Rhinolophus ferrumequinum: one gene and its partner. The protein of the gene in region 2 interacts with the protein of the main gene of each other region in a biochemical or structural test. Links are inferred from orthologs where the notes say so. Each region holds a gene or a part of one and is shown on either strand. Other genes may lie near its edges.

What was found.
Region 1: the proteins of KLHL20 (region 2) and DAPK1 are reported together in a solved structure, tested with the Homo sapiens proteins (2 studies listed by BioGRID and IntAct, with this or other methods). The link is inferred for Rhinolophus ferrumequinum from reciprocal best matches to the Homo sapiens genes KLHL20 and DAPK1.

The regions. Positions count from the first base shown.
Region 1 is NC_046295.1:49,634,243-49,646,670, forward strand, and holds the start of DAPK1 (death-associated protein kinase 1), read left to right. Parts: upstream 1-6,620; 5' UTR 6,621-6,717; intron 6,718-6,753; exon of another isoform or gene 6,754-7,171; intron 7,172-8,018; 5' UTR 8,019-8,125; coding exon 8,126-8,187; intron 8,188-12,428. UniProt on the Homo sapiens protein: Calcium/calmodulin-dependent serine/threonine kinase involved in multiple cellular signaling pathways that trigger cell survival, apoptosis, and autophagy.
Region 2 is NC_046305.1:8,646,362-8,659,064, reverse strand, and holds the start of KLHL20 (kelch-like protein 20), read right to left. Parts: upstream 5,849-12,703; 5' UTR 5,722-5,848; intron 4,800-5,721; 5' UTR 4,759-4,799; coding exon 4,736-4,758; intron 76-4,735; coding exon 1-75. Other genes in the region: ANKRD45 (ankyrin repeat domain-containing protein 45), read left to right, coding at 6,922-7,011. UniProt on the Homo sapiens protein: Substrate-specific adapter of a BCR (BTB-CUL3-RBX1) E3 ubiquitin-protein ligase complex involved in interferon response and anterograde Golgi to endosome transport.

The DNA of each region.
Region 1 (12,428 bases), on a different chromosome or scaffold from region 2:
TCTGTCTTATTCACCATTATCCTTACCACTCAATAAATAGTTAAATGAGTAAATGAACATTAAACTATCAGACCTAATCTGGATTCCTAAGATGTCATGAACCCAATATAGTGTTCTTGAGTGGTATTTTCTCAGAAATTTTCATCATCTCAAAATTTTTTAAAATTAAGGGAAAATTTCAGGAAATACTTAAATAATAAATAATACTTAAATAATAAATGAAATTATGCCAATTATCCTCATACAATTTTCTTAAAAGAGTATATTTGGACTGACTGAGTTTAAATATGCAGAAAACACCAACTTTTATTGGTGTGTAAATTTATGAGAAAACAGCAGTGAAAGAGTCAAAGATTATTGCTGCTTTTGCAAATCTTTAAACTGACAAAGGCTTCTGGAAGAATTTATGACAAGTTTATCTTTTCTGAAAAGCAATGTTTCTATAAATCCTACCAAACTGCTATGAATAAGGCTGTAAATCACTTCATTGGCTTGAGTAATGGAACTTGTATTTCATGAAACCATGCCAAGAAACCTAGACACTTTCACTGAGAAGACGCATTGACATTGAGTCTTCTGTAATATTTAATACCTATCTTTCCCCAAAAAAAGATGAATTTTGATATTGATTGAAAATATTTTTACCATGAATTTACTGAAAAGAAAATAAATAGAAATCTATGGCATTAAGTCTGATGGTTTTAAAGAGGTTCATTAGTCACCAGCAGAGAAAAATAAGTTAGAAGCAACAGAAAATAAATATAACTTCATTCACTAAATCAGTGTGTCCATAAGTTCAGATTTTATCTGTAATTAAAATTTGTACATCCAGTTCTAATGGATGAATAATGTTCAGTGCTTCTTTCTGGATGACTTTTTTTCAGTCTTGCTTTAAGTTTGTTTGACAGAACAGAAACTCCTTTGAATGTTTCACTTTTCTCTTTCCCATTATATCCATATATTCTCATAGAGAAACATAGAATCTGGTAGCTAACTGCACTTAACATTCAATAGCGGGGAACTCCTGCGGGGACAGAAGGGTACATGTTACATATGTATATACTAGTGAAATGAGTGACATGTTCAGTGCTTGGAGGCAGCTCTGTGTACCTTTAGTTAGAAGACTGACTGACATTCTGGGCCTTGAGTTGTATAAGTGCTGTTCAGTATTACTCATTTTTTGTTTCAGGTGGTGTCAGAACCTAAAAGAAATTGAGCCAAGCACAAAAGAAATAGGCTAAGGGCAAAAGTAAACCGGTAACCCCAGAGGTTCATAATCTCCTCAGGCCTTTCAAACACTGGTCAGTGATGTGTATGTGTTTATTTACACCCCTCTTGTTTTTTACAAAGGATTTAATGACAGTTAAAGATGTATTCACTACCACAAGACACAATAAATGAAAATTGGAAAGAAACTGAGTCAGAGGGACAGTAGGGGTAGAGAAGTGGCGAGCTCCATGCCATGGGGTCTTGAACAGGGGGTCACAAACTCCTAGTTCAGAGGACCAGGTAGATAATGTGAAGTCCTCATCTTTACACCCATGCACTACAAAAAGACTATGTTTGTGGAGCAATGGTGGGAAAAAGGGTCAGAGAGGTGCTTCAACTAACTCACAGCTCAGCAAGATGTACTATGCTTTTGCTATTTTGTTTGTGAACATTAAATTCTGCTGTTGAAAACAAGAAAATTAATGGGATGGATTAAACTCACTAGATGTGTGTGGGGACAGAGCCCCAGAAAGCAGTTTCCAGGCTCTCGGCCTCACATAGAAAGGTGCTCACCATGTCCTGCGTTCTTATGTGGAGAGCGGGACCAGAGACCCCGTAGGCCGCCCCACACGACAATGTGTTAAGCATAGATAAGGAAGTTAGTAACCTATTAGGTCAAGAAGAAAACAAATATTCGCAATGTTAATATATATACAGGAAGCATTAATTCACCACCCATTGGTGGTGCCTATTTCGGTTCTGAGAAATACAAGTAAAACCCATAGCTGCTAATGAGACTAATTGGCATTCTATAGCCATTGGCCAGGCACATCTGTCCCTCTGTATTTGCTTCAGGTAATATGCTTCTGTTCCCAAGAGTTCTGCCCCGAGTGCTCTTCTTTTTATTTGGTCCTGCATCCTCTTCCCCAGTGACCTCATCTTTCACGTTCAAAGGTACCCTGGTGTACATCGGAATCACCCCTGTCTAGCCCATAGGTACTGGTCTCCACTTGGACATCATGTGGATGCCCCACGGGCACCTCAAATTTCATATCTCCACGACATCTTCTCTTCTCCCAAACAGCCTGTCAACCCATATTTCAGCCTCCATGGAAAGCATTATCTACTTAATCATTCAACCAAAATTGTTGATATCACCCCGACTCTATCCTTTTCCTCAAGTATCAAGTCCTAAGATTTCTACTTCCATAAAATATCTTGTTTTTCTCTACCCATCATCTCCAAGGATGTGACAAATTAGAACTAATCAACCTTGGCTATCAAAGACTCTTCAGAGCAAAGACACACGTACTGAACATGATGGACAAGGACGTAAAGATCTACCTTGGTTTATCTCTCCACTCTTATCCAAGTCCCGCTCTCTATTTTGACTTCTTGTCATTTCCCTGTGTGAACTCTGACTACTGACAGATGGCTGAACGAGCAGTTATCTTTCTCACATCTGTGATGTAGCCTCATTGTTTTCCTGTCTACGTTCTCTCCTCTCTCAACCTTCCCATGCCATCATTCAACTTTTTTTTTTCCTGCTAACTCTTAATCTTCTTTCATGTTTTTTTTTTTTTCACTAGGATGTCAGCTCCTCTAGGAAACTTTCCTGAAACCTCAGGCTCACCCCTGTCATCACCCTCCATCCCTGGCCTTTATCTGAATTTAGTGCCCTCCCTTTGTGTTTCCATGACAGTCTGAGGTCCCTCTCTCATCACACTGCCAATCAGGGTCCCAGAGGAAAGAGATGGCACACTCAAATGAGGATGATTCAAAGAGGTGTGAGAGAGGTGCACGGGAACCATAGGGATGGGACAGGAACTCTAGGTTAGTAACAGCAGACCTGGCCCCAAATCTAGGTCCAAAGAGACAAAGAGAGAGAGTGTGGTTACTAAGGCCTGGACAGAGAAAATCAAGTAGAAGAGGTTACCTGGTGAGGAGCAATGACCTTTGTTTGACAGTGACCCAGGCAACCTTGCAGAGAGAAAAGCAGAAGACTATTTTGGCCTCATTCTCCTCCCTTCTGCTTGACCTCATGCCAAAATTCCCCACTGGTCAAATGGACCAGGAGCCCGAGGACAAGGATATTAGTTAAAATAATCTTATAGCTCAGCCTATCGACTTGTAAGTATGGAGAAGAGTAGAGAATGAATCTAGAGAAGCAAATGGATTATATCTGGCACAATCACGCTTTAATGGAATTGGCTCTTTGTTCATCAGTCTCCCTCATTAGACTGAGTTACTTGAGGAAAGAGAATGTTTCTTTTATCTCTACATCCTTAGCATCTAATATGTACTAGATAATCAATGCTTATTGATTGACTCAGAGAGCATGGTGAATTGGACATTACTTGGAGGACTGTACTTTCTGAGCTTGCCATGTGCTTTCTGGAATCCAGGATGGAACGGAGAGCAGAGTGAGCTCTGTAACTTTCATCAAAAAAACAACACATCAGTTGGCCAGGAGAGGTGAATTCTCTTAGCACTCAGGGCTGGGAGGAACTGGAATTAGTCATGTGACTGCCTATACAAGGGGCACTCAATTGCATAATGGGCAATAGCTTCAACAGGAACATCACGGGTGCAGAAACACTCTTCATGAAGCCATTTAAAAATATTAGCCCTTAATAAAAGCCATGGGCGTGTTATTAAAAAGTAACCCAAAGGTGAATTGAGCTAATGAGGTCCACTTTGATTGATCTTAGAAAAACCTTGTCCAAAAAAATGATTAAGCCTTAGGCTTCAAACCCGACCCCTAAACAAATCTGCAGTGCTGTCCTCTTTGGATTATCTCTTCACTCATCAATCAATAGATTAAAAGGACCCACTGAGAAACTCAGATGGACTGAGGGACCATGGATCCATTAGAGGGCCAAAACCTGGGTCCCTGAATGTGGAATGGAGCCTCCTCATCCACCCCTGGCTAACAACTGTGTTGAGAACAAGAAATAAACCTTTAACGTGTCAAACCTCTGAGATTTGTTGGGTCTTATAGCAGTAGGTATCTTACCCTAACGACAGATATAGAATAATGTTCTAAATTCTATATCTGAGTCTGTTTTCAATGCTATCATCATGAGTATCATAATCTATTGTCCCCATTGTAATCAGTTATTTTCATGGAAGTCCTTTCCGGCTTCAATCTCATCAGTTCAGGATTATTGTATTGTTGTCTTCTACTTGAAAGACCTTCTTGCTTGGTTCATGATAGAAAACACAATACCAACATTCTGTGTATTTTATCTCTTTAGATTCTTCCAACAACTCTGAGGAATACGCAAGTGCCTATTATTGTCCCTGTTTTGCAGGTGATGAAACTGAGACCAAGAAGGTTAAGTATAAAGTGGAAAAAATAATTAATTTACAGTTATCTGAGGATGAAGCAAGAGAATAATTAGTTGGCCTGGAACCTGGCGCACGTTACAAGTTTTCTTATTTTCTTTGTAACTTTCTTATAAGTTATCTGTTGCTGTATAACAAACCACCCCAAAATAATGACTTAAAACAGTAGCAATAATTTGTTCTGCTTACAGAACCTGAACTGTAAAGACACAGGTAGCTGAGGTTGGGGGTAGGGCTGGAAAAGCTGGCTTCCTTGAACTTCTCTCTTTCTGTGGTCTCTCCACGTGGCAGCCCCAGGGTAACCATGGCAGCTGAAGGCTTACAGAGTGAGTGGAGAACGCCAGAGAGGGTGCATGCAAGAAAGACAAACAGTCAGACAGACAGGCAGACAGGCAGAAGCTCTAACACCTTAAGTCCTAGCCTTGGAAGGACATTATACTGTGTCACTTCCACCACATTTTCTTAGAAGCAAGCTACTATGGCCAACTCTTATTCATGGGGAGGAGAACTAGACTCCACTTCTTGATTGAATTTTGGAGCATGTTTTTCAACTACTACACTTTCCTTCTCTGAAATGCTTGCCTAAATTAGTGCTCATGAAGCTTAACGGTAAGTGAAATGACACATCAAAAGTCACTCAGCTGTTAAATGGTTCCACCAATATTAGATCTAATTTTGTGACTCCTGAGTCCGTGCTATTTTTTACTACCCCAGAAAAATCTCCTGTGATCAGCAGGTGGAATAGGGTAGGGAAAACATGCTAGTGCTGAAATGGAGCCAATCCTTTTCATTGCCTTAGAAAACACACTTACATTTATTTTTCAGGAAAAATATTGCCCATAATACAGTCGTCCATAAGCACTTTCCAAGTTTCTCCCAAACATCTGTGTTTTAATTTCTCCCCCAACAGATGTATCCATTTGCATTTCCCCCAGATAAATCACTTTTGCTGTTGTTCTTATTTTTGACTGTATTTATCACCTTCCAAGATCCTTTTGTATTAATTCTCAAACCCACCACTTAGGTTCATGCCACCTGCCAATTTGGAACCTTCCCTTCATTCCATCACCATGAAAGTGTGCCCTTCCTGTGGGCCAATAAGTGAAATGCTCTCTAAGTGGAGGGTGTGACAAAAAGTCTGAGGGGACTTTTTTTTTCTTTTCAAGAAGACAAAATCTCTAAGGTTGAAAATTTCTATTGAATCAAAGAGAGTCTAAATCATTCCATTTTAGAAAATCTGGGAATTTGAACAATGCTGTGGATCGGAAATCTCAGAGGTCTCATATATCAGTTTTGTAATTCTAGGCAGTAAGGTAGATTTCCCTACAGAAGCTTTACTCTGGGGATCCCCAGAAGTCTCTACAGGGAACCCTCCTTTGTGCTTTCCACACCCAAAGACTTGGGGGAAACATGGGGCAAGAGGTAGAGAATGGATAAAGAGTTTCCACTAGATATGGGTTCTCTGTGTAGACTAGCTCGATCCACAGAAACAACACATTCGTACTGTTACATTCTCTAATAACCGCATTTCTAAAAGTAAAAGGTGAAATTAATTTTAATATTATTTTATTTCCCAATATATCTAAAATACTAATATTTGAACATGTAGTTAATGTAAAAAATTCACTAGCTATTTTTCATTCTTGTTTCCATATCAAGTCATGGAATCCGACGTGTATTTCACACTTAACTGCACACCGCATTTGGGTCTAGCCACATTTCAACTCATCGACAGCCAGTAATTTTTGGTGCAGCACACATATACCCTTGGTTTCTGTTGTTTGATTGGGTCTCTGAGACCTCAACCCTTTCTTCTCTACGTACTTCCTTCAAGTTCAGATACCAACTCAAAACACCTATCCTGGAAAGGAGCTCCATCTAATGCGGCCCAACCTCCGTCATTCTCTATGCCATTATCCTGTTTTATTGTCTCAATAGCACTAATATCTTCTAAAATAATTTTATTTGTTTATATCTTATCCATCAGAATGTAAGTTTCACAGGGTCAGGAATTTTTAAAAATCTATTTTGATCCGGCTGATTTCCCGGTGCAGAGGACAGTCCCAGGCACACTGCCGACGCTCAAATACTTTTGCAGGACTAAGGAATCGCATTTCTCTGGAACCCAGCCGAAGGGGGCAGCGTCGAGTCGTGTCACAGGTGGGGCGCCCACGTTGCGCGCGGCTGCGCTCGGTCTCCTAGCTGCGTGGGAGTGGGGTGAGTGGGTGTGTGCGGGATGTGTGCGGTAGAGCGCGCCAGCGAGCGCGGAGCGCTGAGCGGGGAGGATCAGCAAGCACCGCTCACAACCCGCAGCGACTGCCCGGCCGGGCAGCTCTGAGGTGGGTGGGCCGTGCCGCCTGCCTGCCCGCGGGGTCCCCATTGGTCGCCAGCAGGCCTCCCTCTGCCCGGAAGCCAGCGAGGAGCTGAGGGGCTGCTCCGAAGCCGGAGCAGGAGAGCCCGGCTGAGCTGACGCCGGGGCGGACGCGCGGGATCCGCGCCCCTGACTCGCTCCCTTCCGCACTCGCGCCGCCGCCCGGCTGGTCTCCGGCGCTGGCGCCTGCGGTCGGCCTTCGACAGCGCTCCGGAGGGACCCGGGCAGCTGCTGGGCGCCCGGGTGAGTGGCCGCGCGCGGCTCCCTGGCTTCTCCCGGGCCCCGCCGCCTGCTTTTGCTTTCCCGATCGCGGCTCGGCTGCGTTTGCGCCGGCAGCGCCTCGGGCCATCGGGAAGGCCAAAGCCGGGAAACTTGGCTGCGGGTAGAAGTGGGATTGCAGCCCGGATGCGCCCCCAGCCCCGCGGGCCGGGTGGGAACAGGTGGTGCGGGCCGGGCCGGGCGCTTTGTGTCAGGACTCGGAAACCAGCGGCAGGCGGCCGCGCCTCCCTCGGCCGCTCCCTTCCCTCTCCTGCTCTCCCGAGCGGCCGCAAGCCGGGTCGGCCGGGTAACGGAGCGGGAATCGCCAGGAATGTGCCTCTGGGGACTGTCTGGCTCGAGGGAGGAGAGAGGGTGGCCGCGAAGGTGCGGGAGCCGAAAGGTGGCGCGGGGCTGCACCGCCGCTTCAGGCTGGAGAGGGATGCTTCCAGCGTGGCGCGTTCCTCCCGGGCAAACGCTTCATTCTTGCGCGGCGCCCCTGGAGGTGGGGAGCTGGGTGGGAGTGTGTGCAGAAAAAGGGGGGCGGGGAGGCCAGTCACTTCCGGAGCCGGTTCTGATCGGTGCAGAGAGCGGTGCTTTGGCAGTCGCGGATCTTGGGGTGTGGTTGTGCACGGCCCCACATGCGCGCCGTCGATGCGGGGCTGGGGTTGTCCCTGGCCCGTGTTTAACAAAGGGTGCTCCTCTGCACCCGGCGGGAGGGGCAGCTCCGAAGAAGTGGTCTTAAGCGAACGGGTCTTAGTCCTGGGGAGGTCCATTTCCTTTTTGGATTGTAATTTTTTTTTTGTATTATTGCCTTTTTTTTTTTTTTTTAAAGACTGGAGACTGATGCATGAGGGGCCCACGGAGGCGCAGGAGCGGTGGTGATGGTTTGGGAAGCGGAGCTGAAGTGCGCTGGGCTTTGGTGAGGCGTGACAGTTTATCATGACCGTGTTCAGGCAGGAAAACGTGGATGATTACTACGACACCGGCGAGGAACTTGGAAGGTACAGGAGGCGCACACTATTGGGTTGTGGGAATGCATAATATTGGGGGTAGTGGGCAGTGAACAAATGCAGCTTGAATCAGGCGTCTCCCTCTTCCAGAAGATGTGCAAATTACAGAGAAGAGTACCACCCCAGCGAAGGCTAAAGACCAGAAATAAACCACCTACTCCAAGGGGTTGGGGGTGGAGAGACAATTTCAGTGTTAGATTATGATGCAAAGTATATTGATCAAAACCCCTGGACGAGAACAGATTGAACTGACTGCGGTAACTCTTGTCAGCTTTTGTCCTTCCGACGACACAATGAGCAAACGCTAAGATATAATTAGAGTTAGCTCTGATGTGTGATTTAAACAGAACACACACTAATGAATAGGCTTTTAAAATCTTCCTGCTTTCCCTCTTTCGGAATTTTCAGAGTAACATGCACAAATATTGGTAGGTCCTACGGTACATGGATACTTGCCAGACGTTGATGTTGGGCTTGGATTTTGAAACTTACTGGAATCAGGAATTTAATTAGCCAGTTGGTGTTAGTGGTGGCTTTGGTTTTATTCCCAATGTTAAATTTTTAACAAATCTACGAGAGTCTAATGGGCTATTTGCATTCAGAGCCTGTTCCATTGCTGGAGGAGCTGTGATTCTGAGTGTAAAGTCTTCCATGTTCTAGGTGAACTAAGAATGATTTATTTGGGGGCATCTACTAAGGGCTAGTTTGGTTTCTTCTGGACTGGGTATTTGACAGGGTGTGTTGAGCTCTGGTCTAACTAGCAGAAAACCCAGTTTTCACATCTAGATTTAAATTCAACATACGGAATTTTACTGCAGTGAGTAAAATAGGCAAAGGGATCTTTAAACAAACAAAAAAAGTATGTATTGACTTACACGTGTATCAAAATATGTATTTTTCCATATACACCTGATGTCCTGATACAAAGCTTCGTTTACTTCATGAAAAGGAAATTCACAAAGACACACACCCTAGATTACCTAATGAAAATTATGAAAGTTGAGCTTAGCTAAAATTTTTTATAAATTCAAGTAATAGTGTAGAATGCAAGCAATTTTTAAAAAGTTACTGTAAGAGCATATTTCTGTATATGTTTAGTATTGACTGACAACCTTACTGGCTTAGGAATTGCTTACTATATATTGGAGATTTACCAAATAAGAGAGTTCTCAAAAATCCTATTTTATAGATATGTTTAAGATTTAAGATTTAAGAGTATGCAGTTAAATATTTGGTTTAACTAGAGTTAAATCACTTTATCCCTATGGTATTCAGCCAGATGAGTGGTATATGAAGTTTTCCTTTGGAAATAGGGGGGCAAAGGTGAAAAAATGTATTTTAATTCTGTTTGCGTAGTATGACCTGATTATATAAATTCTCTTGTAAAGAGAGATGATTAAAATTGGGTGAGGTGATTGCTTTATAGATTAAGTATATTGACTTTATTTTCATTAAGATCTTTTGGTAGAGTTATGAGAAAGAAAAAAAATACGGCCGCCCTGTGGCTGGTGCAGGGAGTGGGGAGTTTGTGATCTTTATTTTGTGAGAAGGCTACCTCTGCCTTTGCACTAGGGGGTGGTTTGCAGATTTGTCCCAGCATTTCGCTTTGCTTTTGACTCTGTCTACATTTCTGTATATAACTTTCTCCCCACTGTGCAAGACTAATTGACAAATTGTTTCTTGAATAATTTATGTGACCTATGAATTTGAAAGAAGTGCTCTGAAAAACTGATAGTTGGGAATTTTTTAAATGAAAGTATACATGCCCATCTAGCTGCTATATCTTTTGGTTTTGCCTAAAAATGGCTTAAACAGTTGATTTTTTTGAAGTGGTTTTCAAGCCCTGTGATTTTTATGTCTGCCTTGGAAATAGCCACTTTCTGAAAACAAGTCCTGACATAAGATAGACAAATAGGAAGGGTGCTGCTTCATGTGTCACTGAGAGAAGATTGGCAGTGGAGGTGGGAGCTTAGTGGCGGAAAATGGAAATGGGCCAATATTTGACACAAAAGCAAGGTTGTTTGTTCTAAGCAGTGCGTTATACACAAGCTAACATCTAGGATTTACGACTTTATTTACATACTACATTTAGCAGTTATCTAAATAATACCTACTCACTTACCTTATAAATGTATTGAGACAAAAAGTCCACAGCTGGAGTAGGAAAGATAGGTTTTTAAACAAGTAGAATACAATATTATTGTTGTTATTGTTATTGTTATTTTCTAGGAAAACAGAGTATGTATGTAGGAGGATGAGTGTGTGTGTGTGTGTCTGTCTGTCTATGTATGTCAGTATGTGTCTGTACGACTGCCCAGGACTGCTGTGAAAGCTCTCTGTTAACTCTAAGGAACTTTATAAAATGTTATGATTATTGCAGTAGTGGTAGAGCAGTCAGATCACTGCACAGATATCCAAAATCAGCTCTGCAACTTGCTAGCTTTATAACCCTGAACAGGTCACTTACCCTCTCTGACCCTCAGGATCTTCATCTATAAAATGAGAGGCCTGGTGCTTATTTCATGACTGTTGTGAAAATCAAGTAACCTAACACATGTAAAACTATTTTATCAACAGTAAAGAGTTAAATAAATTTACAGATATCATCTGCAGGACTATGCTGAGACATGTGGGTGTTCCAGGCAGGCTAATAACTTGGCCGGCAACTCCGTAGTCTTTTTAAGTATCTGTTTACCAATTTTGAGAAGAGAGGCCCTGTGGGAAAAGGCTCATGGAGAGACCCCTTGCTGCCAACACTTGGCCTCTCCACTCTTACTCTGTGTAATGCCACTCTGGCCTCGAACCTGCACACCTTCCCAGTGGAAGCAAGTCCTTACAGTGAATGGACCATCATCTTTGGAAGGCTCTTTGGTGACCTTTTGTGTTGACTTAGGAGGACCTTTGGGGTCTCACCCTCTGTCCTAGGAGGTAGAATAGAGAGCTATTTCCATCACATGTAGTGGTCTCTGGGAATTCTTACAAATGCAGATCTCTCCATCTGCTGTTACACTTGGGTTGTTTTTTTTTAATGCCCTAGGGTGCCTTAGCATCTCTTATCAGTTGGCACTTGGGCAGCTGCAGGCTGGCTTGTCCAACCATCGGGCTCCAGTTACACCCTTGGCTGTGGTTCAGCCTAACCTGTGAGCCTTCTGGGCACCTCTCTGAACACCGCTTTCCTGAGGGCCTGGTCTTCTTCCCTTTTCTGCTGTCTGACCTTACATGATCTTGAGACCTGGCTCCCATCTCCTGAATAAATGCCTCCATGATGCTTTCTCCCTTTTAGGAGCCAAATGACTTGCTGTCTGAAGCACTCCGTTGGTCCATGACCACAGGCTGCCTAGTGCCATGCTCTAGCATTGCTTTGTGTTACTATCATCCTTGTATTGCTCTTTGTAGTCAGCTTGAAAATTCCTTCAGGTGGTCTTTTCTTCCCGAGGGTGTGCAGTATGCTGCATAATACCAGGCACAGTTTGATCGATGCCTGAATGACTGAATGCAGGTTAGCAGGTGCAATATTGAGACCAGAATGGGGAATTAAGATGCAAATGGTGATGCAGATGCTGACGCTGATAGAGAGGCAGTGTGTGGTGTGGTTTGGCCACAACACACTCATTTGGAAAGTGGGGAGACACCTATCTTTGCAGGATGTTGTGAGAATTAGAGACAGTGGATACAAACATCTGACACATAGTCACTGCCTAAGATTATTTTAATAACCTGTTTTTCCCATCACAGCATTTACCACATTGCGTAGTCGTTACTTATTTGATTATCTGCTTTCCCCCAAGTTGTCACAGGGCTGTGACCTTGAACTTGCTCATCATTTTTATCTCTAATGCCTAATAGATGCATGACACTTACAAGGTGCTCAATAAATGCTTGCTGATTCAATGAATGGATTAATATATGTAAAGCACACACACATACACACACATGTATATTATCTTACATGTGTGTATGGCTCTCAATAAATGATGACTCTGGTGGAGATGAACTTCGGACACGAAAGCCTGCAGCTCGTAAAACTAAAAGCTACTTTTGTTTTCACATTCTCTGTGGCTGAACAGTAATGTGCACAGTAGCCAAAATCTCCAAGCACAAGATCAGTTTAAACAAAATAAGGTGGAGCATTAAGTATTTCACATTGGTTTAGATCAGGGGTGTCCAAACTGCGGCCCACGGGCCAACTGCAGCCCGCGATCCATTGTTAATTGGCCCGCAGCAAATTCCAA
Region 2 (12,703 bases):
AGTTTGTTGGGGTCTCCAAGGGTGCAGCGGCTTGTTACATCCATTCCAGTCTCTCCTGGTCGAATGCTGGTACACCTACAGGAAGGTGGGGCGAGAGGGAAGAGAAGATGGCAATATTATTAGAAGCCATAAAGTGTTCCTAAGCGAAGAGACAGGGAAGCCTGCAGGTAATCAAAGGCGAGGACTGGGCCCCCACAGCGCTTGTTTTCTAAGAACTCGAGTCTCTTGAAGAATGAACAGTATTAATTCCAAGTCAGCACGTTCACTATGCACTCCAGTAAAGGACAATTCTTTCCTCATCTTAGAAGTAGTCAGACTAGACTGTTTGGCCGTTATCTTTTACAAATGCCTGCAATTTATGAGAAACATTTATAAATTATGATCTCTCTGCACAAAACAGACCAATGGACTTAATTCCTTAATCTGGTTTTACCAAAATCTTGATATTTGATATTTTTTAAAACACAAAATGGTGATTTCTGATTCCCTCATTAATTTTGTAAACTGCTCCTCTAAGGTTCAGGACAAAATATATAAAATATTGCTCATGTTGCATGAAAAGATCAAAAGGAAATATGCCAGGGTCCAAAAATGAACTTTATATGGAGTACTGTATTTCCTATATTCTAAGATGCATATTTTTCATAGTTTATACAGTCCATCGTAATAGTTCTACAGAAGTAAAAAACAAAACTAAGAAAAAAGGAAAAATCACATGCACAGGTGACAAAAAATAGTGTCACTGGGATGCTATGGATAATGGCTGAGGGCCAGACGTAATTCGGAGGATTCTTTTTTTAAAATTTTTATTAAATGTATTGGGGTGACAATGGTTAGTAAAATTATATAGGTGTCAAGTGTACATTTCTGTAATACATCATCTAGAGATTACATGGTGTGCTCATCACCCAGAGTCAGAGGATTCTTTAGTCGGTGAAAGAGAGAAAAGCTCAAAATACAGCTTTGTGATGTTGAAAACTGAGGTATCAATTATATGGCTAAATATGTGCTATACCGCCAGTTAGTAAAAGCTTTGCATGTCTTTAATGCAACATTCACATTTCTAAAAAGTTGTTCCTAAATCAACTGTGTGGCTTGTGAGGCAATACAGTAAATAACTATGTATTTGCATTACAAAGGCATAACTTGAAAACCAAGAACATGGTCCTTTCTTTCTCCAACAGCAAGCTGTTTTTCCAAAGTACTCATCAATGCAATCTTTCTGTGCTGGGCCTCAGCCCACAAGTGATTGTGTATTCTAGAGTACAAACTGTCCATAATTCCTGACGTGCGGCAAACAGCACTGTTTATGCTTGAGAATCGAAAGACTGAAATATAAAGCCGAGCAGTTAAAGGTGTGTTTTTTCCACCCACATTTAAGAAGGCTTTTCACAATTTAACAATTCAGAAGGCTTTTAACCACCATGCTTAATGGTGCCTTGTACGTAGTAGATGCTGAAAGAATAAAGACACGGTTCAACAGTGGTACAATCAAGCTTTAAAAAACAACAACCCACCATTAAAGATAAGACCAAATTCTTATCCTTTCTAGAAGGTCCAGCTCAAATATCACCATCTCTGTGAAGCTCTCATCTCCACAGAGAAGAGGTTCCCTCCTCTGTGTTTACAGCTCTATAAAAATCCTGTTCCTGGTGTATTATGTTGTCTGTTTACGTGTCTTTCCATCATTTCATCTGTATATAAGCAGTACATAGGCATAGAACAAGTACTATATAAATGTTTGGTGAGTGAATAAGACAATTCCTAATAAGGTTGGGCTCAGCTTTCTATTTATATATTTAAGGAAAGATGGAAGAATTACATTGCAAAATGTTTTAGTGTCTGTAAATGAAATAATTAAAAAATAATCTCTTGGGAAACAGGCACATTGTTGGTGAGACTGTAGATTGGTATTATCTCTATGGAGGGGAATTAGTCAATATCTACCAAAATTTTTACATCTAAGAATTTATTCTATACTTACACATTTGGGCAAAAACCAGTTAGAAGGATATTCGTTGCAGAACTGTTTGTAACAGCAAAACATTTGAAATAATTTGTCTCTCAAATGGAATGGTTAACTATGATACCTACAGATAAGGGAAAACTATATAAAAAGTTTTAAAGAAAACTTTTAAAAGTTTTAAAACTATTAAAATGAATAAGGTAGGTTTCTATGTATTTGTCACAAAGTACAAAATAATTTCTGAAGTGAAAAAAGGTTACAGAAGAATGTGCAATTCGTATGCTGACAGTTTTTTTTTAAAAAGAGGAGGTATTCTGTAAATGCTTGTATATGCATTACAATGTCTGTGAAAGAGTGCATAAGAAACTGTTTACAGTGGTTTTCTCTGGAGAGGAAAATTGAGAGCTGGGGTCACCATTGGGAGACTTACTTTTCATTGAATATTCTATTTTTTCCTTTTTAAATGTTGTATCATGTACCCCTCCACATAATAGCTACTTAAATGAATGCAATGAAGCTTTACTAATAAAATGCCAATCAATTTCACAAAATTTTATAATTAAGCATTAGAATCCCTTTAACAATAATTTTCTTGTTCACAGTCCCAGCTCCAGGGGAAATGTCTGCAGATAAGCATTCAGTCATTCAAACACTTATTCAGTGATCATTAGTTTCCAGGCATACAAGGATACAGAAGACATAGGAGACTCAAAGAGCTCATACTCTGGTAGGGAGAATGAATATGTATTCAAATAATTTCAATATAAAGAGTTACTTCTCATTCAAAGCTTCTCCAATAGCAGCTAAGTATAAACTCTACTTCCCAGAGACTGCCTTCTGGGTTGCAGCAAGAAAGGCAACCCAGGGCCGGCTCGGTGGCTCATGAGGTTAGAGCTCCATGCTCCTAACTCTGAAGGCTGCTGGTTCGATTCCCACATGGCCCAGTGGGCTCTCAACCACAAGGTTGCCGGTTCATCTCCTCTAGTCCCACAAGGGATGGTGGGCTCCGCCCCCTGCAACTAAGATCGAACAGGGCACCTTGAGGTGAGCTGCTGCTGAGCTGCCGCTGAGCTCCCAGATGGCTCAGTTGGTTGGAGCACGGGCTCTCAACCACAAGGTTGCCAGTTCGATTCCTTGACTCCTGCAAGGGATGGTGGGCTGTGCTCCCTGCAACTAGAAATGGCAACTAGACCTGGAGCTGAGCTGCGCCCTCCACAACTAAGACTGAAAGGACAACGACTTGACTTGGAAAAAAGGCCTGGAAGTACACACTGTTCCCCAATAAAGTCCTGTTCCCCTTCCCCAATAAAATCTTTTAAAAAAAAAAAGGCAACCCAACAAGGAAATGCCCTTTGGAAGTGTGACTATGACTTAATGTAGGCATCAGGTAAAAGTAAAACCAGACAGCAATGGGTAGGCCAGGCTTTGGCCAAATGATGGTGATGAAGAAAGAGTCGTAACTTAATTAATGGCATTAGAATTCTCCAACATGATTTTGAATAACTGGCAGTGTTATATAATAAAGCAAAAAAAAAAAGTATGAGTAATTAAGTTGAATATTTTATACAGAAATTACCGATAAAAACATCTCCATGCTGTGCCTTCCTTCTCTTTTTAAAAAATAATGAGCTCTCATTTTAGCAATTACATAAAATACAACATTTATGGCAGCTGGGGATGAGAAGCAATCAGTGGCTTCTGCAGTGATGTTAAAAGTTGAAGTGATGGAGTATTACTATATGTGTAGTTAATTTCATGTACTTTCAGTTAAACACTATTTTTCTATAGAGTAAGATATAAATAAGATAATGGCATTTGTTACATCCATAACATCTTTTCATCTGGAGATCTCAAAGCATTTGCAAGCTTTCATTAATTCCCAATATCTTGGTCAGATACAATAGAGAAAAACACTGGGTCAAAGAGAAGGTGAATAGCTCAAGATCAGTAGAAAAATCAATAACAGATTTTGAAAAAGCTATGTATTTTGGTTCTTGCTCCTGGTTCTAAGTCATATCCCCATCATGAAATATTTCTTTTCTTAAAAGGGTTTGCCACAGCTCTTTATCTTTGATGTTAAATAACAAATGATTAAATGTAGTTCAATAAATGTAAAATGATTTTAAAAAATAAGAACTAGAACTGGGCTGATTTTTGTTTCAGTAAAGATCCTATTTGTTAGAACAGATTGAGAAAATGCAAAACTAAATTCTAGGGTGGGGAGGGCCTATAATTGTCTATATTTTCCCACACTTTTCTATGGACTAAGTTGTTATGTCCAATACCTTTTTTACTCCTCAACCATCTCTACAATGCAGCTATTTTAACTAACAGAACAAATGTATTACCAAACATCAATGAAATAACCAAAACCATAATTAGACATTGAGTGCAGTGTATTATAAATAATAATTCTTATACGGCAACAGAGTCCTGTACATTCTATGGGGAACTGAAGACTATAATAAACCCATACAGTACCATAGTACACTTAACGATTATCACAAAAAATTACCACGCAGAAAGGAAAATTTAAATGTTATCTACATAAAATTCATAGTGCTCTTTAGAAATTTAAATTCTGTATTTTACTCTATTAAAAAACCAATTCCTTTTACTTTTGACTTATTTTAGAACAAGAGTCATTAGTTCCGAGTAGAAGTTTGAAAGATTTGTAAACATTTTTTTAAAAAATTCACATGTAGCCTTGAATTATCACGTGCTGAATTTCAATCCGTGAAACCGAAGGTTTTCTTGCTAAACGCCTACCTGCGCATTGGCTTTCCTTCCATGCACCATGGAAAGTACCCTTCACCACACTCTAAAGCCGAACCTAAGACAACAGAAAAGCAGTAACTTAATAAAAACGATTTCTGATCTTTCCAGTAACCATCTCTATATAATCATTTCGTTCAGTGATAAACAATTTTATATTCTATTGTATCACAGGCGTTTTGCAGACAAACAATCATAACCTTTACCTAGTACCTGTAAGAAGATAACTATCTTTACTCTGAATGCTAAGACGGTTGTAAGTGAAGGTGAGACAAAGTGCTCTTGTAATAGTCCCGATTGCTAGGTTCGTGTCATCTCTCCTCAAAAAGTGCTTGGAGACATTTAACTTCGGCCTCACCATCAAGTGTACCTACAAAGCTCTCACCAGACACCCACAGCTGTACTAACACGACAGATGGAAAAGGGAACACGCTGGTTTGACAACGCACCTGCAAGTAACTTGAGCGGGTGACAGAAGTCGGAGGGGGGCATTTGCCTTTAAAGACAAACATCTCCACTTCCCACAGCGCGGGCAGCTTGAACAATACAGAAACACTACGGTTCCACGATTTAAGATTCTCTCTACAAGCCCTTTCCTCAGTCCCCGAAACGACGTCCACCACCCACTGGGCAGCATCGCGCTAGGTCCCCAGGGTGAAATGGCACGCACAGTGCCCACTTCCTTCCCCCGAGTTCCAAGCCCTGTCTGGGGAAGCTGTCCGAGGAAGCCCAAAGCCCCCACACAGGACAGCCCTGCGCTTTTCCTGGCTCGGGGGTAGGCCTGTCAGCCAGCTCGATCGCCGTCTGCTTGGTACCCCCGAGGCCCGGCCCCAGCGCCCCAACTGCCCCTACTCGACTGACAGGCGGCGGGCGCAGCACGGCCCTCACCCCACCCCGCGGTTCAGCAATTTGGGGCTGCAGATGTGCACAGCCAGGTCGGGGCGCTGTCCAGTGTCGCTGCTCGCAGGAGGCTAACTTACCGGCTCTGGCACTTTCTTTCCCTCGGCCACAGCCTCCCCTACCTCCTCCGCCCGCCGCCCCCTCTCTGCCTCCTCCTCTGCGGCCGCAAGCGCAAGCAGGATGCAGCTCCTCGAGCTATTTCCTCCCTGTCCCTCGCCCCTGTTCAGCAGCAGGAAGTGGTTCTGATCCTAAATCGTTCTCCCCTGGAACACACTGACTCCGCCAAGAGGTTCCGGGGCGGCTCAGGAAGTAGCAGCTCTCTTTGCTGGGGGTTCAGCTAACCGCAAGCACCGCGCATCTTCCAGTCCGCTTTCTTGTATTCCCAAAGGGTGACCACTTGGCGAGTTCCTCGCTGAATGGCAGTATTTGAATACTGAAGCCTCCTCCTTTCCCCTTTTTTCCCCACAGGAGAAGGCAACAGAAAGATGGGAGTAGTCACGGAAAGCTAGGAATTTGGGGTTATTTGTAGCAGGTGAGTCTCCTGTTGGCACAGTCTTGTCCCTAATTGTGGATAGAATGATTGATGCATGCATACATGGGGTCCTTCTATTACCCTGTTTCCCCGCAAATAAGACCTAGCCGGACCATCAGCTCTAATGCATCTTTTGGAACAAAAATTAATATAAGACCCGGTCATATATAAGACCTGGTATTATATTATATTATACCCGAAATAAGACCGGGTCTTATATTAATTTTTGCTCCAAAGGATGCATTAGAGCTGATGGTCCGGCTAGGTCTTATTTTCGGGGAAACATGGTACATCACCCAGACATCCGTAAAGAATGAAGGACATAATCATATGTAAAGAATGAAGGACATAATCCCTCAGCCAGTAGAAGTGCTGTTGACTGAGAGATCTTATCTGTTAGCCTTCTGGGAAGCACCTTTGTGGAAGAAGTTGCCTGCCCACAGCCTCACTCCTTTCCTGGGGTTCCTTGCAACCAGTGACTCATTCATGCTGGGGTACAAAGGCACGGTTTCGTTGCCCCATATTGGGACAGTTCTAAAGGGCCATCCAAACTTCAGAGCTCCCCAGACGGTCTGCATAGGCGTTTGTTGAGACTACCTTGCAGCCCAACTTTCCCCTCTGCTTTGTTTCCTTACCTTTCTTTCCAGGTGTTGATCTCAAGAGCATCCCTTAATAAATTTCCTGCCTGCTAAACTCTGTCTCAGAATATGCTTCCTGGGGAGTCCAGGAATGACAGGAGTGGTTCAAGATGCAGTCACTTAGATGGGATTTTTGGTGTGGATCATCTGCTGCCAGGCTAGAAAAGAGGATGTCATCACTGGTGCAAGAGGGAGTACAGGTAGTCCCTGACACAATCTAGTGCCACTGATGAAACTATTAGCAAACTGTATATTCTGGTGGAAGGAAACACTCTAGTAGGTGCAATATATTAGGTGTTAAAGATATTTAGAAGAAATATGTGTGGGCTGTGGCTAAGCTCATTTGATACTATCTAATGAAATGCAGTGATAAATTGTCTATTAAAAACTAAGCATCAACGTCAAAGGATTGTCTAGATAATGAATACATCTTCTGCCACTAGAGAGCAGGAAAATCTGAGGAGCAGGTCCAAGACTTAATCATAAGAGTAGGAGAACCTCGAAGAAGAGTAAACTCTCAATATTGGCATGTCTGCTATGCCAAGGACAGGGTGCTAGTTGGGAAAGAGTGGGAATTTCACATATGGTATGGGGACATCTGGCTGAGTACACATGGGACTGAATTCTTAGAGTGCTGGATCAATGGAGACAATACAAAGTTGAGTAAGGGAGACTTAATTAATTTGGAAGCTTTCCCCTGGGATACAGGATTTAACAACTTCACAAGGATCTCAGGAGATGGTGCAAATATGCCGGAAAAAATGGCCTCATAAGCATGGAGAGTAATGGCCCATACTAAATGAGGTAAAGATGCCAGGATTGCCAAGGAAGGCAGTGGAACTAGGGATTAAAAGTTTCAAAAACGTGAGCAAGCTAGAGTGAATATACTGTGTAAGCCTGGAAAACCCACCAGGCAATTACATTCCATGGGAGGGACCAGAGGATACATCATTTAACAAAGTAATAAGGCAGGTGCTGGTGAGAGGGGTACCCAGAATCGCTAATAAGTTCAGTAATGGCTCTCCTCCACAAACTAGATTGAAGGTAGGAGACTCCTATACAGAACTGAGCTTATGGATTGCAATGGAGACGTTAAGTATTTAGAGACCTTCCTCATTTTTTTTTTACAGCTGCATAATCCTTGTGAAAAAAAGAACGTTATCAAAATGTTCATTTTCAAGCCAAGCTACTCAACTTTCAGCTCAAATGTTCTGAGCTTCTCTAAAATATGATATCCTCCCTAATGATTTTCGCATAGAAATAGTAAAGAAATGAATATTTTCCTTCACCCTTTGTCTTCAGTAGAAAAATGTCCCTGTCTTCACTCTGCTCTGTGTGAACATTTATATAATTTCTGGGTAAGCTTGACGCTTCTCTGCTGGTTTCTTTTCTTTTTATTTTTTAAACAGGACTTTATTGGGGAATAGTGTGTACTTCCAGGACTTTTTTTTTTTTTTTCCCCAGTCAAGTTGTTGTCCTTTCAATCGTAGATCAGCTTCAAGTTGTTGTCCTTTCAGTCTTAGTTGTGGAGGGCGCAGCTCAGCTCCAGGTCCAGTTGCTGTTGCTAGTTGCAGGGGGCACAGCCCACCACCTCTTGAGGGAGTCCAACTGGCAACCTTGTGGTTGAGAGGACGTGCTCCAACCAACTGAGTCATCTGGGAGCTCAGTGGCAGCTCAGCTCAAGGTGCCATGTTCAATCTTTAGTTGCAGGGGGCGCTGCCCACCATCCCTTGTGGGACTTGAGGAACTGAACCGGCAACCTTGTGGTTGAGAGCCCACTGGCCCATGTGGGAATCCAACCGTCAGCCTTCGGAGTTAGGGTCACGGAGCTCTAACCACCTGAGCCACCTGGCCAACCCTCTGCTGGTTTCTTTTGATACCCGGTGCCGCCCTCCCCCCTACCCCTTTTTAAAAGTCGTCTGTTTTGGACCTGAAATTCCTGAATCAGAAGATAGTTTCCAAGTTCCTTCCACTCCTGCCACAGTTGGCACTTTGTGAGGTCTCAGGAAACGCTACTTGTTGGTGACAATGACCATAAACCATAAGAGAAAGATCTCCAATACTTAAAAAATTAAGTGAGCTGCGCGTTATAATTACGATCTTTCATAGTTTTCAGAATGCATCCTCATATTTCTGGAAAATTCTTCTATTTAAAGGCCAAAGATAATACTAGGACAGGCCGGCAATCAATGTGCACTTCTTATTTTCAAATTTTATTTTTTAAAATGTAAAATAAATATAGACCACATTTCATAAAACTTACAAAATAAAGAAAATACCCGGCAGGCCACCGTCCGAACACAACGATTGAAGTCACTCCGACTTGAATCATCCATCTCCATCGGGCCCCTCCCTCTCCCCGCACCTTGCAAATTTTACCTGCGCGCGCAGCCGGAACCACGGCGTTGGGGTGGTGCTACGGCACGCCGGGTGCGCCGTCACCATGGTAACCGCGGAAGCCCCGGGGCCAGGAGATCGGTGAGTGCAGGGTACCCGCGCCGAGGGCCGTGGTGGCCGTGGGGGCAATGGCCTTCTCCCGGGCAGGTGCTGGAGGGGAGGAGTCTTTGTCTCTGCTCTGAGCTTTGAGCAGCGGGACTTGTCTCGCGGGCAGCCTTGGGCTGGGGGGTTTGGGGAGGACGGCGAATCCCGGGAGGTCCCTGCGGGATTCAGGTCCAAAGGCAAACTCCGCTGCCCAGAAGTGGCCGGTACCCCCTCCGCCAGACCTCATGGGTCGCAAGGCAGGGCTGCCACTCAGTATCTTCTTTCTCAGACCTTCCCTTTGTTTAATCCTGGTGCCCAGGGCAGCCCTTGGGGAACTTGTCCTTGAGCTGGGACGTGAAATCCTCAAGGGACTGCATTTTTAAAACTTGGCTTAAAAATTAGATCCCTAACACCAATTCCTCTACCACAGCCTCATGCTGCCTTGTCTGCTTCCTTGCCCTTTGTTTATGCTACTCCTACCTGGATTGTCTTTTCCCCCCGTTCTTTTAAGGCCCCTACTCTTCAATACTGAAGTGCCACCTCTACTGGGAAGGCTTTCCGGGACCTCCCCACTTTTCTTTGTTCTTTACTCTCAAAGCGCCCTTTGCTGATCTCCCTTATATCCTATATCTCACGCTGCCACTGATGATTTACTTGTGTCTCCCCACTGGACTCTTAACGGCCAGTGGGGTGGGGACCAGGACCTGTCTGATTTTCTGTTATTAGTGCCTCAGCAGCCTCCAAAGAGTTCACTTTATAACAAAACATATATTTAAAACAAAAATATTAGTGAGAAAGTTAAATTTTTTAAATATATAGAATATTGATAAAAGGAACAAAGGAAAGGCTATATTGTGATCATCCTATTACTACTTATATTCGCAGTAAACATACTTGAAAATATCTTAAAGCTTCTGTATTATACCGTATTTCCCCGAAAATAAGACCTAGCTGGACCATCAGCTCTAATGCGTCTTTTGGAGCACAAATTAATATAAGACCTCGTATTATATTATTATATTTATTATATATTATATTATTATATTAAAGACCTGGTCTTATAATAAAATAAGACCGGGTCTTATATTAATTTTTGATCCAAAAGACACATTAGAGCTGATGGCCGGCTAGGTCTTATTTTCAGGGAAACACGGTAAGAAGGAAAAACAAACCCCACATGCTCTGTCTTCCAGTGACAGAATATGATAAAGGACACCATCAGCAATAAACTGCCAAACACATGACAGGAGAGTTTACTTTTATTCTCCTAGTTATTTTCTTTTAAACGTCAGGTCTAAGGATAAATATCCCGGAAGACTTCAGTTTGTCCTTTTCTTTCAGAAAGGCTGATTTCAGTTTAGGTCAGATTTGGACTGGAACAGTCTTGAGGGTTTGACAATAGATCGGGGTGGCTTGAGGGTGAGTTTTAGTCAAGTGGTTCTCAAAGTGTGGTCTGAGGAATCCCTGGGAATCCTTAAGACATTTTCAGGGAGTCTACCAGTCAAACTATCTTCATATTGATTCTTAGGCATTATTTGCCTTTGCATTCTCACTCTCACGTATTACAGTGGTTTTTCCAGAGGCTACATGACATGGTCTCACATCACCTGTCATCACAGTGAATGCAGAAGTGGATATGGAAATCCATCTGTCCTTTATGAAGCCAGACGATTAAAGAGATTTGCAAAAATGTAAAATAACGCCACACCTCTTGTTAATATTTTTTGTAAAATACACTTATTTTACGTAAGCTATATTTTTATGTTAACATGTAATTGTTTTTAAGGTAAATTAATAAGTATTTTAAAGATTTCTCAGTTTTAACTTCTGATATGGTAAAAAATTAATACAATAATCCACAGAAACAAAAATTGGCAGGGTGGGGGGAAGTGGTTCTCAATTTTTAACATTGTAAAGAGCCCTGAGATCAAAGAATTTGAGAACTGCTGCCCTAATCATGTTAGTTCTGGACTGATAGGGAAATTAAGCTGCATTTAAAGATGTTCCAAGGGTAGCTTTGAGTATTCTGGCCTGAATCATATTTCCGGATTTGATGTAGTTTATCTCCAAATCTTTGAATTTACCTGGGATCAGATTGATCTCTAGATGCAGAATAATCAAGTGTTTGGTGGTGGCAGAGTTGAAAATCATTTACTCAAGAATCTATACAGCAAAACTGTACTTAAAGAAGAAATAATAGCATTACCATCTTTTGTTTTGCTTCATGGATGCTTTCACTGGAGGGCTGGGGATTATTTAATGATGATGACATCTTCTGTTTACTGAGTGCTCACCATGTGCTTGGCACATGCATCCTCTAATTTCTTTTGATTCAACAGTCATGTAAACCAGGTTCTAATGTTATTCTTATGTAAGAATAGGTAAATTGCCTAGTATGATGCAACTACCATGTTTCCCCGAAAATAAGACCTAGCCGGACAATCAGCTCTAATGCGTCTTTTGGAGCAAACATTAATATAAGACCCAGTCTTATTTTAGTATAATGTAAGACCCGGTCTTACCTAACATAACATAAGACCGGGTCTTATGTTTGCTCCAAAAGGCACATTAGAGCTGATTGTCTGGCTAGGTCTTATTTTCGGGGAAACAAGGTAAGAAGTTTCAGGGTCAGACTGTGAAATCAAGTCTTTCTGACTCTAAAACCCATTGCTCTTGGCTGTGAAGAAAAGCAGTGGGAATTTCAAGCCTGACGTTAAGAATGATTGAACACATATGATATATAAAGAATTGTAGTAAGTCTGAAAGTGGCACAAGAGAAGCATAAGGCTTTATCCTTGCCCCTATCCAGTTTACAGTCTAATTGAGTAGGTGACTTACATACTTGACACAAATAGGAAATACTGTAATACCATACTTGCTAAGTTGTATGGTAAAGACTGTCTATAATGGCCTTTGAAGTTCGGAGGAGGGAAAGGCCCCAGTGCATTTCAGAGAAGAGTCAAGGAAAGTTTTAGGAAGGAGGTAGATTTACAGCTTGGCCTTTCCTTTAGCTAGTAGGAATGGAGGAGAAAAAAGCTATTCTGGGCCTAGTTGCAGGTGTACGTATGAAATGCAAATAAGATTTTCTCAGTGTCTTCAAGGTCTTGTGCCTGGGCCCCTGTTAGACCAGGGAAGAAAGGCATTCCAAACACATCCTGGTTCTATTCTCCAAGGTTTGAATATGGATATCTTTAGCCGAAATGTTCCAGAAGATCACAGTGTTGTTGAAAGGGCGACAAAATAATTTATTGTGTAGTAGTAATGGGTACCTCTGAGAGTGAAAGACGACGCTATTGAAAATGACACCAGAGAACACATGTAACTGGAACTGTGCTGGGTACATTGGGACATGTGTCACCCAAGCAATTAACCGTCACACATGCTGTCTGATTTCTGTTAGAGTCACTCTTG